Linked DNA regions of Mus musculus. The protein of the gene in region 1 purifies or fractionates together with the protein of each later gene. This does not show direct contact. Links are inferred from orthologs where the notes say so. Each region holds a gene or a part of one and is shown in the gene's direction. Other genes may lie near its edges.

Evidence for each region.
Region 2: the proteins of Nfkbib (region 1) and Polr1e purify together in Homo sapiens (affinity purification with mass spectrometry; 3 studies listed by BioGRID and IntAct, counting the BioPlex papers as one, with this or other methods). This does not show direct contact. The link is inferred for Mus musculus from reciprocal best matches to the Homo sapiens genes NFKBIB and POLR1E.

Annotation. Positions count from the first base shown.
Region 1 is NC_000073.6:28,760,940-28,763,810, reverse strand, and holds part of Nfkbib (NF-kappa-B inhibitor beta), read left to right. Parts: intron 1-1,679; coding exon 1,680-1,785; intron 1,786-1,875; coding exon 1,876-2,209; intron 2,210-2,871. UniProt on the Homo sapiens protein: Inhibits NF-kappa-B by complexing with and trapping it in the cytoplasm.
Region 2 is NC_000070.6:45,024,944-45,028,761, forward strand, and holds part of Polr1e (DNA-directed RNA polymerase I subunit RPA49), read left to right. Parts: intron 1-202; coding exon of another isoform or gene 203-275; intron 276-826; coding exon 827-885; intron 886-1,820; coding exon 1,821-1,965; intron 1,966-2,420; coding exon 2,421-2,528; intron 2,529-3,059; coding exon 3,060-3,156; intron 3,157-3,818. UniProt on the Homo sapiens protein: Component of RNA polymerase I (Pol I), a DNA-dependent RNA polymerase which synthesizes ribosomal RNA precursors using the four ribonucleoside triphosphates as substrates.

The DNA of each region.
Region 1 (2,871 bases):
TACCCTACTCTTGGTCTTCCTGCCTGGAATTCCGGGCAAGGTGGTGCGTGCCTGGTTTATGCAGAGTTGGGATTGATCCCAGGTTCTTATGCACGCTAAGCTAGCAGTCTACCAAGCAAGCCACTGCCCAGCTCATCTCTCTTCTTTTCTAATGTGCTTGGAATGCTGTAAATATTCCCTCTGGAGAACTTCTGATATATTGTGTTTTTATTTTTGCATAAATGAGTATATTTTCTAATTTCTCTTGGTTTCTCCTTTGGCCAGTAGGTTATGAAGAAGTATGTTCATTTTTCACGCTTGGAGGAGTTTCCAGATCTCTCTGTTACCAGCTTTAAATTTCATTTTACTGCGGGCAGAGAACATGTTTTGTCTGATTTGCGGTCTCTAGTTTTTCTCTTGCAGCGCTGGCCATCAGACCCAGGGCCTTCTGAGTGCTGGGCGAGTGCTCTCGGGAACTGTGTGCCGGTGGAATTCATTTTGACAACGTGTGACTTAGAGGGAATGTTGGTTAGCAGTGTTGTTCAAAGCTGGGCGTGTGATTCCAGCTACAAAGAAGATTGAGGCAGGAGGAGCTCAAGGTCAGGACCTGCCGAGGAATAGAGTGAATTCAAGTCCAGGCTGGGGACATTCACAGCGAGGCCCTACTTCAAAATGAGGGGAACCAATAGCAGGTAGCTCAGTGGCAGCCAGCGTCCCTGCATGCAAGCTACCTTAGGTTCAGTCCTCATGACTGCAAAGACAGGGCAGCAGCCACCACAGAGCCCTGCCGTTCATTTGCTCCTGCTTTCCTACTTGTTGGAACAGTTGGTGACAGAGACCTAGTGAAGTTACCACACCTATGGATTCGTCTGTTGCTTCTTCTCCTTGTTAGCTTTTGCTTTATGTAATTTGAAGGTCTGTTCTTAGAGCTACACTGAGTGTGTGTGTGTGTGTGTGTGTGTGTGTGTGTGTGTGTCTGTGTATGTGTGTGGTGAGAGCCATCGTATCCAGCTTGTCTGTGTGTATGTGTATGTTTATGTGTGGAGGACAGAGATCCATACTGGCTGTCTACCTCGATTGTACCTCACTTTATTACCGTATTATTATTTGAGACAGGTCTCACAGTGTAGCCCTAGCTGACCAGGAGCTCACCATGCAGATCAGGCTAGCCTGGGATTCTCAGAGATCCACCGCTTTTGCCTCTCTCACATGGGCCGCCATGCCCAGCATTTCTGTATGTGTGTGTGATCGAATCTCATTATTTAGTTTTTAACCCTGCTGCTCTGGAACTCACCATGTAGCCCAGTCTGGCCTTGAACTAACAATCCTCCTGCCTCAGGTTTCCCGGATGCTGGAATTAGAGCTACTACACTGATTATGTTACTTAGTTAACACAGGTGAAACAAATTTGGTAGCTGGGCCTATTGGTGACGAGAGCTATTGAAATCACTAAGTCTATGGATTCCCCTGGCTTGTCAGCCGAGCTACTCAGGAGGCTGAGGTGGGAGGGCTTGAACTCAAGGTCAGTGTGGGCCACTTATGAAGACCCTATCTTAGCTCAGAACACGGAGCAGCCAGACAAAGTGCTAGATTAGCTTCTGCCCTCGACTCTCCGGAACACTGACAGGTTTCCACCGTGGCCACAGTTTGTAGCACACAGTAGACACTCTGTGACACTGACCTCTGCCTTTTGTCCTCAGAGCCCTGCACTTGGCTGTGATTCATCAGCATGAGCCCTTCCTGGATTTCCTCCTGGGCTTCTCCGCCGGCACCGAGTACCTTGACCTGCAGAATGACCTAGGCCAAGTGAGCCATGGGGATGTGTGCTGTAGGGAGCCGGGTGGGTCCAGGATTGTCAGCGTGGCCCTAACTAACCCCTTCTCTCTATCCCTGTAGACAGCCCTGCATCTAGCAGCCATCCTTGGGGAGGCATCTACAGTAGAGAAGTTGTATGCAGCCGGTGCAGGAGTGTTGGTGGCTGAGAGAGGGGGCCACACGGCATTGCACTTGGCCTGCCGGGTCAGGGCACACACGTGCGCGTGCGTACTGCTCCAGCCCCGTCCCAGCCACCCAAGAGATGCCTCAGATACCTACCTCACTCAGAGCCAGGACTGTACCCCAGACACCAGCCATGCCCCTGCTGCCGTGGATTCCCAACCCAACCCAGAGAACGAAGAGGAGCCGCGTGATGAAGACTGGAGGCTACAACTAGAAGCTGAAAACTATGATGGTGAGAGCCCCAGGCCTTGGGGAAGATGTGAGCTCCTGGCCAGTCCCAGGCTCCCAGCTCCTCTCACCCAACCTGAGTTGTAGCCAATGGCCTCAGACATACCCTGGTTGGTGGAGTGCTCATCTGGCATACGTAAAGCCCTAGGTTCAATCCCCGGCATAAACAGCTTGGTGTATGCCTATAATACCAGTCTCTGGAAGCCAGAGGATCAGGAGTTCAAGGTCATCCTTGGTGCTAGCTAGTTTGAGGCCAGTCTAGGTTACAGGAGACCCCATCTCAAACAAACACCCAGTCCCAGCACTTGGGTGGCAGAAACATCATGAGGTCAAATTCAGGCCCTGTCTCAAAAAACCCTCAAAGCAAAACTAGCTCCTTGGGAAGTCATCCCTAGGCTCCGTAAATCCTAGCATCTGGACTAAGGCCCTCCACACAGTCTCAGGAGTACTAAGAATTGGACGTACAAGGCCCCTCTCCCACAGGTCTAGACGTCAGACCACTTATAACCCAGACCTGTCAGCCACAGGTCCAGAGATGCCAGGATACAGTGGTTAAACCAGGGCTACCCATCTGCAAGGTGACTTCCCTCCAGAATTGTTCCCGAGTATGAGCCACCAGCCCAGCCTGACCATGATGAGAGGATCCATCCCATGTCCCCAGCCAGG
Region 2 (3,818 bases), on another chromosome or scaffold:
CGCCCGGCCTTGTTTAATCTTTTGATGAGACACATTTGTGTTGTGCATAAATAGTTTATAAGTACTGGCTTGTTCTGGCTAGCACGTGCACAACTTTAATTTAGGGTCATTGTGCACTTGTCACCAAACACCTTTCATAAGTACCACATAATTACGTCATCCTTACTGTTACTCTTTTTTTTTTTTTCTAAACCACTGTCAGAACCTGGCTGAGGCAGGTGACCTGCTGCTGAGCCGACACCGGCAAGGCCATTGCATTGCAGTCCTGCTGGATGGTATTGCCTTCTGCCCTCTATTTGAGTCCTTTGTAGAAGGTTAGAAAGTGGCCTGGGAAAGCCCGCCTTTAGGTCTTTGACCAATAAAGCAAATATGGGAAGAGCCAAGGGCTTGGTTTCTGATCCTCTCTGGCTTGCCTGGAAAAGTGACAGGGCTGGTCACTATGTCCAGAGGCCTCATGTTTCCTTGATTATGAATTAAGAGGCTGGTGCAGCGGACACCTGTTCTCTGGTTTTCCTACTTGTGTACTGAGGTGGACATTCAGGGTTCACAGTATAGTACATTCATATTAGGGGAATCTTGGAATAAGGAAATCTGCTTCTCTTTGATTAATGTTAAATTGACACTAAGCACGTTTAAGATTTTTGGGCCTTGCAGAGCTGATGCCTGCAGTGCCCCTCTGCTTGTGGGGTTTGAGACCAGGGCATCAGTGGAACTCGCAAGTTTTGAAAACCAGCATGGGCAGCATAGTAAGACCCCATTTAAGAAATAGTAGACTCACATCTGCGAGCCTCACGCTGTGCTCTCTGCCTGTTCTGTGTTTCCATAGACGATGCTATTGAGCGAGAGCCTCCTCTGGAGAATCAGAACAAGACTTTCAGGGACAAGGTGAGTGACAGTTTAGGAGGCTCCTGCCGGTCCTGGTTTCCATCTGTGTAATAGTCCCCCTGAGCTTGGCCCTCACTGGCTGCTCCAGCTCGATTGGTCGATGGGTCTCTGCATGGCTGCTACCTGCAGAGGCCTTCCAGTCTCCCAGGGAGCAGACCAGCTGCTGCCTTAGCCCGGTGAATGGAGGTAATGTTAGCAATTGCACCCTGTTCTCTGGGCTGATAGGTAGAAAACTTTTATTTTATTTTATTTTTTAAAGATTTACTTATTATTATGTGTAAGTACATTGTAGCTGTCTTCAGACATACCAGAAGATCTCATTACAGATGGTTGTGAGCCACCATGTGGTTGCTGGGATTTGAACTCAGGACCTTCAGAAGAGCAGTCAGTGCTCTTAATAACCACTGTGTCATCTCTCCAGCCATGGGTAGAAAACTTTTATTAAAGTTGTGGTTCACAATGTAGAAAGTGGTTGTGCCTGGGAACTCCCATAAACAAAGTCGGTTCTTTGAGTTTGTCTCAAAGAGGTTTCTTAGAGGAGCCTCTCACCGCAGGGTGGTAGATTGAATTTGCAGTGCTTCTTGTGGACCACTGATAGAGAACACACTACAGTATGACTTGGGGAGAGCCAGTGGTATATTAACAATGTCTGCTACTGGCACAGGATGGGAGATCCAGTAGCCAACCCTGAGTCTAGTAAAGTCTTCATTCTGTAGTGATGGGAAGCTATTGGTTTGTAAATGGGAGTCTGTACAGCAAACCTCGGGGCTGCTGTGGCACAGTTGAGATGGACAAGCATGACAAAAGGACTCAGCCTGATTGGCAGGTGATGTCATCCTGGCTCAGGCAGCCCAGAGCTTGCCTGTGCTCACACAGCTGGGGACAGCCATGCTGCCCAGCCAACCCTTTAGTAATTGGGTTTGTTTCCTACATAGTTGGATTCTTGCATTGAAGCCTTTGGAAGCACCAAGCAGAAGCGGTCCCTAAACTCCAGGCGGATGAACAAAGTTGGCAGCGAGTCTCTGAATCTCAGTGTGGCGAAAGCCGCGGAGAGTATTATTGATACAAAGGGTGTGAATGGTAAGCAACTGGAGCTTGGGGTGGAGACTGGGCCTGCAAAGACTTGAGAGTGGCCACAGATGCATATGGTGGGCCTTAAGGCTGGGCTCCTTCCTGCTGCTTGCTGAAGGCCTCCTCAGGAGTGACTCTGGGAGCAGGCGAGACATGCGACACCACCCTATCCTCAGTCAAGGAGAGGAGACAGGCATGGGAAGGGCCGTGAGCAGGCCCTGCTCTTGGTCAGGGTTCTCTGGTGTGCAGTAATGACATACGAGTGCACATCTCTTTGATTCTGTTCTGAGTTAGTTGAGGGCAAACACGTTGTACTCACCTTCTGCCTCTGTCCGACCGGGAGTTCAGATCTCAGCAGGTGTTCACATTCGAGTTTCAGAACGTGTGGTCCCCACTGCACAGTGGAGCTGGGGAGCCTGGAGCCAGACAGGCTGACGCTGACATCCCTTTTCCTTCCTTGAAAGCGCTGGTCAGCGATGCCATGCAGGATGACTTACAAGATGGCGTCCTCTACCTTCCTCCCTGCTACGCTGACGCAGCCAAGCCGGAAGACGTGTATAGATTTGAAGACAGTATCCTTGCTGATGAGCGGGTGTCTGATTTGCAGGCTATGATGTTTGTACACATTGGCAGAGCCAGGCTGTGTAAGGGTGGCCATCGTCCTATGACATCAATAAATATGACATCCAGATCTTCTCCCATGTCCTAGAGCTGTTAGCAAGAGGTTGGGAAGTTAGGTTTCCTCAGCACTGAGGGGCCCATGGGACAAAGGGACACAGCTTAGCCCTGTGGGGGTCATTCTGCACAAACAGCACCCAAGCATATTGAAGGAAGGGTTGGAACCTAGAACGTCACTGTTCAGCGTCTGGTTTATTGGAAAATGTTGACAGATGCTCTGATAAGGAAGAGAAGGGCGAGTGGTCCAGGGAGGAAGTGACCCCCTAAGCTGGGGTCTGAGACTTAGGTCCCTGAGCTCTGCCCTGCTTCCTCTGTGAGTCCCTTCTCTGAGCCTTCCATCTCCTACCTGGGAATTTAGGCTCTGTGGGATGACTTAGCTCCATAGCTTTCCATTTTGGTCAGTCGTGTTCTTGACCCACAACCAGTTCTGTCCCCGGCCGAGTATGATGCTCTTGAGAGCCCATCCGAAGCCTTCAGAAAGGTCACATCGGAAGACATACTGAAGATGATTGAAGAGAACAGGTACTCGTGGGCAGATGGGGTTTTTGGTGAGTCATAATGGGAAAAAGGTCAGATATAAAGCAGGACCGTGCTGATACACGCAGAAAGTAGCCCCTTGAAGTGGCAAGGGTGGCGTCTGCTCAGCCTTGGAATGAAGGAACAAGCTTTGACACTAGGCTTCAGGAGCTGTGTGGATTCAAGGAAGAGGAGTGGTTACGTGCGTAGAGCCAGTAGCTGGGAGATGGTGGTAAGGTGTTGTCATCTGGGGCCTGGGACCAAAGCTAGCCCCAATCCCCACTGTCTGTTGATGCTGATTGTCACTGTCAGTGCCCAGAGACTGGCATGGGCCTGGCACTACCCAAAGCAAAGCTTCTCTGTGACAACATGCTGACAAACGCAACTAAAATTAAATATGTACACTCTAAATATTGTATATTGATTTTAAATAACAGAGAGTATCCCTCTTCTCTTTTGCCATTAAAACAACTTTTCCTTTTTTAAAATGATGGTCAGAATATTTCTTAGTTCTGAGCCTTTTTTTTTAAATTATCTATTTAATTATTTTATGTGAGTACACTGTCGCTGTCTTCAGACACACCAGAAGAGGGCATCGGATCTCATTACAGATGGTTGTGAGTCACCATGTGGTTGCTGGGAATTGAACTCAGGACCTCGAAGAGCAG